Tribolium castaneum: one gene and its partner. Each later gene encodes a partner of the first gene's protein in a complex. Links are inferred from orthologs where the notes say so. Each region holds a gene or a part of one and is shown in the gene's direction. Other genes may lie near its edges.

The links. Proteins that work in one complex are often made in the same cells at the same time.
Region 2: the proteins of DNA polymerase epsilon subunit 3 (region 1) and Chrac-16 are in contact, whole or in part, in a crystal structure (PDB 2BYM), measured with the Drosophila melanogaster proteins. The link is inferred for Tribolium castaneum from reciprocal best matches to the Drosophila melanogaster genes Chrac-14 and Chrac-16. Residues at the interface, in NP_476646.2 of Drosophila melanogaster: Ile15, Leu18, Ile19, Glu21, Ala22, Leu23, Pro24, Glu25, Ser26, Ala27, Ser28, Val29, Ser30, Glu32, Ala33, Ala36, Ile37, Arg39, Ala40, Ala41, Val43, Phe44, Ala45, Phe47, Val48, Thr49, Lys62, Thr63, Ile64, Thr65; in NP_001285148.1 of Drosophila melanogaster: Thr35, Gly36, Leu37, Thr39, Asn40, Glu41, Val42, Phe44, Leu45, Met46, Lys48, Cys49, Thr50, Glu51, Leu52, Phe53, Val54, Arg55, His56, Leu57, Ala58, Gly59, Tyr62, Arg69, Pro70, Gly71, Glu72, Ala73, Leu74, Lys75.

The regions. Positions count from the first base shown.
Region 1 is NC_087394.1:1,508,048-1,512,386, reverse strand, and holds DNA polymerase epsilon subunit 3, read left to right. Parts: upstream 1-2,389; 5' UTR 2,390-2,461; coding exon 2,462-2,732; intron 2,733-2,780; coding exon 2,781-2,890; 3' UTR 2,891-2,906; downstream 2,907-4,339. Other genes in the region: centrosome-associated protein 350-like, read right to left, coding at 502-2,040; E3 ubiquitin-protein ligase LRSAM1, read right to left, coding at 3,023-3,142, 3,194-3,417, 4,296-4,339. UniProt on the Drosophila melanogaster protein: Accessory component of the DNA polymerase epsilon complex. Participates in DNA repair and in chromosomal DNA replication. Histone-like protein which promotes nucleosome sliding of ATP-dependent nucleosome remodeling complexes.
Region 2 is NC_087399.1:7,015,771-7,018,939, forward strand, and holds Chrac-16 (chromatin accessibility complex 16kD protein), read left to right. Parts: upstream 1-2,239; coding exon 2,240-2,605; downstream 2,606-3,169. Other genes in the region: uncharacterized protein LOC107398497, read right to left, coding at 1-767. UniProt on the Drosophila melanogaster protein: Histone-like protein which promotes nucleosome sliding of ATP-dependent nucleosome remodeling complexes. Part of the chromatin-accessibility complex (CHRAC) which uses energy/ATP to increase the general accessibility of DNA in chromatin.

The DNA.
Region 1 (4,339 bases):
ACATTGACTAAAATAAGGCATCTCAGACGTAATTCTACAAATTTTGGTCTTGTTTTGGCAAAATTTCTGAGTACATGAAGTTTTTACACAATCTCTGCCTAGTTTTTTAGAGGATTTCTCAAATTTAATGAATTTTTCAACCAAAAAATTCTCTAAAATCAGGTTAAACGGAAAAAATAGAACATGTTTTTACACTTTTTTTGACTTGTTTTGATTGCATTTCTCAAATTTACTTATTCTCTTTGTAAGTAAATAATAAGTAAACACCTTTTTTTGGAAAAATATTTCGATTTTATTTTTTTTTTTCGGTGAAAAATAACTGCATTTCTGACTCAATTTTACAAACTTTGGTCTTACAATAATCCGCTTACTACATATTTTTAGAATCTTTTGTTGGAGTTTTTAGAATTTTCCGGTGAAAATTCAACCTTTTTTTCTTGAAATCAATTGAAATGTTTCGGTTCAAAACTGTTCTAAATGAGACAAAAAAAAACAACTTACCGTACTAGAACTTGGCCTAAGTGTGATATTTTTCAGCTGATTTTTACCATCATTTTGTGGCTTCTCCAAACTCAAAGACCTGTTGTTACTCGTATTTTCCTCGGTAATAATTTTAGAACTCGAATTCTTTGAACTTGTTTCCAAATTATTGGTGTTTTCTTCAGTTGTGATAATTTTACTCGTTTCCAAATGATCCGAAACCGATTCTGAATTTTTACCTCCAACCAAGAGCGATTTAAACGACTGTTTTTCTTGCGAAAAATTCGAATCCGATAAATAGTTTTTTTCACTAGCTGATTTAATCGTAACCGTGTTCATTTTCCCATTGGCAAGACTCAAATTACGAACCGAAAGCGAAACATTTGGTTGTTTCATCGTCAAAGATTCGGGAACCGAATCCGAATCAGAGAAATTTTTCGATACTTTTTTTTCAGTTAGGAGCGATTTAAATGAAACACTTTCTTTGTGAAAATCCGAACTGTAACTATCGTCACTTTTCTGCAACTTGTAGTTTTTCAATTTATCGAAATCGAGCTTTAGACTTTCACTCGAAATGTCGGGAATATTTTTCGAAGTATCCGACTCACTACCACTATCACAATTATTGAACAAATTTTTCGACACTTCTCTCAATTCTAAATTTTCCACAGGCTTCAAGTCGAGACATTTGTGCGAAACAAACGATCTCAACTCACTTTTGGCACTTTTAATCAACAGTTCTTTAATTTCTTCCCTCGATTTTGTTTCCAGGGGCGGAGTCCCGGAATTCTGCACCCCAATGTCGATAAAATTCCGGGGCGAATTCACAGCAAACTGCAATTTTCTCTTAACTGTGTTTATAAAATTGTACGGATACGCCGCACAAGGGGGCTCCAGCCAGGGCGCCCCCTTGTCGCACGTTTGCGTCTCTTTCGCCTCAGACGACGTTTTCGCCAATTTCTGGGGCTCCCGGGCCTTGGCCCTCGAAATTCTCTCGCTTTTTTGCGTCTTTTCGGAGCCCTCAGAAACTTTTTGTGCGGGCGACTTCGAGCGGTCGATTTTCGGGGGGCCCCCCTTGTCCTGTGACTTCGGGCGGTTGGTTCGGACAAGGGGGCCCCCTTTCTCCCGCGCCTTCGAGCGGTCGATCCGGACAGGGGGCTCGCCCTTGTCCCGCGATTTCGAGCGTTCGCGCTTCAACTGCACGTTTTTTGTCACCAGCTCGAGTGTTTTCTGGTGTAATTCTTTCAGTTTTTGCTTTTTCAGATCGAGTTTATTGTCAGTGGTGTTGATTTGGGCCCGCAATTGTTCGGCGCGTTTTTCCCGCTGTTTTTTGATGTAGTTACGCGCCTCGGTGACGTCATAACTGCGGGGCTTTTTCTCGGGATCGGGGGGCGCCTTTTTTTTAACGGTTTGGGTATCAGGGGCTGGCTTGTGGGTGGGGGGCTCAGGGGGCTGGGTCCCAAGACTTATGAGCTTCTCTAGCTCGGTTTTGAGCTGTTCGATCTCTTTTTTTGTGTTTTTTACACGAGTGCTGACATTTTCCACTTGGCTTATGGACATTTCTGAACCCCCTTTTTTTAGCGAATTACGACTGGAAATTGATTAGACTGACGTACAATTCACGAATTGACCCACATTTGTGTTAATTTAGGTGAGAAAATGCAAAATTAACTCACCTTTTTCACATATTTTCAAAACGTCAACCGTTTATAACATAACCTCAATAACCAAGGCCAACAAGGGTGAATAGTTCAAGGCCCCCCACCAAAACTGCAAAAAACAGCCCCTAAAATAAACCACCCCATTCGTCACGAGCCCCCCAAGCTTAATTAAACAAAAAACACAAATTTATAATTATTAGGTGACCAATAATAAACAAATTAATGATTTTTTAATCAAAATTCAAACATGGCGGTTGGCATTGCGCATGCGCGTTTTTTGTTTTTGGTGGGAAAAGTAATTTTGTGAATTTTGTGACCAAATGGCCGAAAAACTGGAAGATTTGAATTTGCCGAACATGACGGTGCAAAAGATAATTAAAGACGCATTGCCTGAACACGTCAGTGTTGGTAAAGACGCCCGTTCGGCCCTGTCAAGGGCCGCTTCAATTTTTGTCCTGTACATAACCTCACAAGCCACCAAAGAGGCGCAAAAAGTGAACAGAAAGACTCTTCTGGGTCAAGACATTCTAACAGCGTTAGAAGAGCTCGAGTTTGACGAATTCGTGGAGCCCTTAAGTGTGATGCTGAGAGGTTAGTTTTTTTTTGAGGTTATGTTCACGTTTCAAAAACCGACTTCAGATTTCAAAGAAGCGAAGCAGAAGAAGAAAGTGAAGAAGGGGGCCGACGTTGAAATGGCGGAAGACAACGACGAGGAGGCCGTGGAAGAGGAAGAAACGGGAGAATCGTAATAAAAAATAAATTTTTTGTGATAGTTTTTTATTCATGAGAAAAAGTAACAACTGACTAGATTAAGGCCACAAATCGTGCAGAATTCACACTTTAGCAACACTGAGCAAAAAAAGTGACGGCAGTTGAACGAACTATGAAATTATTCTAATTTTGCGTTCGATTGAAGTCCTGCACATTGGACAGTCGTTCAAGGTCACAGGACACTGGGAACAGCAACAGAAGTGTCCACATGGCACGAAAATCACCTCACACTGCAAAAAAAAAACACCAAAATTCGCCTTAATTTGAGATAAACAACATACAGTTGAGTCCAAACAAATGACGCATTCAGTCCCCAAATTTGCGACATTTTCGAGTGGTGGCGCACTTGCCTCTTCGATTGGCAGCACTGGAGCTGAGGGGGCCGTATCGGTCGGTATTTGCTCCTTTCGGTACATTTGGAATGCGTCTAAAATGTGGACCCGGTCCGATTTATTCACAATTCCCACTTCTTTGAGGTCGCTTTCTGTGATTTTTGCAACGTTGCCTGCAAATTGGTTAAAAATCGGGCCAAAGTAGGCACTGACTTTGAAATTTAGGTTGGCAACACTGACGGGCAAATAATTCGGCGTTGCCAACTTAAGCTCGATTTTAATAAAAGCGAAAATAATTCTTAAGAAGTCTTCATGTATGATTTTAAGCAAAAGTAACAATCACTAGAAAAAAATTTGTTGATAAACACGGAACTGAATGTTCGAAAAAGCTCAAAACATGATTAAAAACTCGAAAAATGGAAAAATCAAGTGGTTTTGGACCCCATTTTGTAATTTCTTGGCCGTACTTAATTAAATACTAATACTTAATTTTTATCTAGGTAATATTTATGTACCTTTTTGAGTGGGTTTCATAAAAATGAGCGAATATATAATAAAATATAAATATAAAAAAGGCAAAAATAACGCAATTTTTTGTGCTTAAATATTGAAAAGAAGCGAAAATAGCTTATTTTTTTATCAAAAGATGTGACTTTTGGCCAAGTTTTAGTAAAATCTCACAAAGCTATATAGTTTTTAGCGCAAAAAAAGTGAATATTTAGTTAAAAAACCGCTTTCAAACGCTGGAAAAACGAAAATAGCTTAATTTTTTTATCAGAAGGTGTGACTTTTGGCCTAGTTTCAGTAAAATCCCAAAGTTTTTTAGTTTGTAACAAAAAAATTACAGAAAATTAAATTAAAAAGCTCAAAATAATGGTAATTTCAAATAATTTTTGGCCAATTGTGGTAATTTTTGAGAAAAAAAGATATAGACATAATCATATTTTTTGACTTTTAAAACTAAAAAAAATAATGTCATTTTACTCGATTTTTCGGTTTGTTTGAGGAAAATCTCGCGAGAAAATTAATTTTATACTAAAAAAAAACTTACATTGACATTGCATCAAACTGGCCAAAAACGGCAAACAATTAATG
Region 2 (3,169 bases), on another chromosome or scaffold:
TCCCCCAGCTCAAACACCGAGTGCTCGTCCAAGTCCAGCGGCTCCACCTTGATGCACTCCTCGAAAATATTCTCCGGTAGTTCCCCCGCGTTTTGTATATCGTCCGGATCAACGCCTACGTACTCGGGTCCGGTCAACTTGAGGGGGTCCTCCCTCGTGCAGTCCCCCACACTCACACTGCCCCCAAAAACACTCACGTCGACCTCCTCGATCTGGAGGTCCAAATTGCGGCTGGGGACGTGGTCCGGGTTCAGCGGATCGTCCACCGGGAAGCCCAGTATGAAGTGGTCCGAGCACACCGTCACCTGGTTGTCGCTGCAAGCCCTGGTGAACCTCTTCCAAGCGTGGAAACGTGTCCAGTTCGTCTCGTTGCGCTCCAGCGTGAAGAAGTGCTTGTTTTTGTGGACGTTGTCCTGGTTGTGGCACGAGCGCACGTCGCACTCGCGGACGGTGATGGGGGCTTGGGGCAGGTTCAAGGTGGGGATCGCCCTCGCATTGAGGGTGTCTGGGACTGTGGTCTCTCCGTAGTAGTCGGTCTTCTGGAAATGCATGGAACAGACGCGCTCGCAACGCGCTGGGGTTCTCATGAGGAGGATTTCCTCCCATAGCTTGCGGATGCACATCAGTTTTTTGGGACCACCGGCGTCGAGGGTGCTTACGGAGAGGTAAGTCGTGTCTTTGGGGGGAAATGGGTGGAAAGATAGTAAGGGGTGGGTTCGGCTGTTGGTATGGCAGTTTGAAACCGAGCAAAAGTAATTATCTTTCATTTTTTCATAGATTTCAACAGGTTTTTGCCAAAAATGCGAAAGAGAGGTTAAGTGCACTGTTGACAACTGTCACAATAAAATCATAAATTAATAATAATTTCAACCAATTTAGGCCGAGGATTAATAATAATTAATTTAATCATGGTCGTAATATATTAATTACGTGCATCTGTGGTGGTTTTTGCACAATTTTTTCGTAAAATATTAGGGTACGTTCCATAAAATTGTGCTAGTGTCACTTGGAATAACGGATCCTTGTATCTCCTCTTATCTGTATCACTGAATTAATAATCTTTCAGTATTTTGTAATTATGTAATTATGTATATTTCATAATCATAAACGAATTTTTTGCTGAACAGCTCAATTAGGTCATTCAATTTTTTTTACAAAAAAAATTGTTTAAGTGTTTATTATCAGTTAGTTTATTCGTTAATTGCAAAATTTTCAAGTTTTTATATCGTGATAAGTAACGTCTAATAAGAATTTTTTTATTATTTTAATTTTTAAAGACTTGAATTCTATTTCAAATTTTTTAGAAAAATTTTAAATTAAGTATCATGTGGTGATAAATTTATTGCCAAAAACGCACCAATTAAACCCCGATAAAGTCATGTTTTTTATTAAAAAGGTGTTGAAGCCTTATGTTGACACGTGGATATATTGTTTCCTTTAATAAAGTATTCAAAAATTGTTACTTTCCATGTTGCGTTTTTGACAGATAACAAATCAGTCTTTCAACAACACATAAATAACAATCAAGTCACCACATATCTGTCGTTTGTCAATTACGGCAGTTGTTTTCCCAGCCGCCTCCCCCAACCGACCAAAATTTCCACATATAGCCCGACCTCGCGTACTTAAAAATAAATCACAAAAAAGCCGAATAATTTACACCGAGTAAATAAATAAATAGACAATGACGTCACTTGTCAACATTTTGGTAGCCTCTGTTCCACCCCCCACCAGTGCGTGTTTTGTCCAGTGACGTCTTGTGCAGTTTTCTCGAATCGCGTCGATTAGCTTCACGCTTTGTTACCCCATCGTCGAATACGAATTTTTGCAACAAAACCAATCGATACACCGTGCAAACGACTCATTTTCCCAATCGAAATCGCGAAAAAACCGCGAGTAAATTCCGGTCTAGTGTGCAGTGCTGCTGTCATTTTCCTTCCCGATCCAGAGTGCTGTGAAAAAATTTCGAGAGGGTTGCGATGGTTGCCGTTTTTTAGCATCGTTTTCGGGGAAAACGTCGATTTTTTGGTGAGTTTTCCACTGTTTGTTTTTGCGCAAAGTGGGCCAGTGGGCGGGGTGATATTTTGGGAGCAAGTCGCGACGAAAATACTCATTTATTCGTGAATTCGGTATTTTGGGACGAGGCAGTGGCGTACGCGGATTTTTGGCAAAGGGGGCAATGTCACGTGACTGCGTTAATAGACAGATGACGGCCATTGTGTGACGTCATTTCAGTGTCATGTCGTCCAAGCCATGGGGGGCCTTGCCCATCGTCCGGATAAACACCATAATGAAGAGTTCTTCAGAAGCGGAAAATATCAGTCGGGAGTCGTCGTTAATGATGACGAAAGCCGCCGAACTCTTCATTAAAATGTTGGCCCAGGAGGGCTATAAGTTATCCGCCACGGGTAAAAAACTTGATTACAAACACTTGTCAGAAGTGGTCAATCGGGATGAGAAATACGAGTTCTTGCAAGATATCATGCCGAAGAAAATCACGTATGCTGAGTACAAGAAAATGCAAGAGGGCCAACTGAACGGCGCCGAAAATCACCAAGAGATTTCAAGCGATGAGGAATCCAGCAGCAACTCGAATAGTGAATAAATTTTTGATTTTTCAATTTTTGTTTGATTTTTTTTCCAAGTTCAAGATTAACTGGCACGTGGCTGCTTGCGTGTAACGACTCTCCTCCTCCCCTATTCTTGCAAATACAGGGGTGGAATTTCCCCGGACGGTTATCGATTCGGACTTTCAAGGGCAGCGCTGCGGAAGTTACACCTGCTAGCCCTTTATTTATTTATTGTGGTGGCACCACTGACACAAAAAACCCTAAAGTCTAGCCCACTATGACCTTAAAATGCCTACAAGAAATAAACCCATACAGAATAATGCCCACAAAGAATAAACCCCACGTCGAAAAAATTCACATGAAAAAACCTAGGTACACGGAAAAAAGCTCACAAGTTAAGAAATGTATTGTGAAAAAAACCCACATGAAAAGAAAACCACACTGAAAAAAGCCCAGACGGATAAAAACTCACATGGAAAAAAGCTCACACAGAAAATACTCACATACCTCAAGAAAGAAAGAAGTTCACTACTACTTCAATAACTTCATTTTACGGTATCTTTAAGAGTTACTCAAAAAATACACTATAAATATTTTAC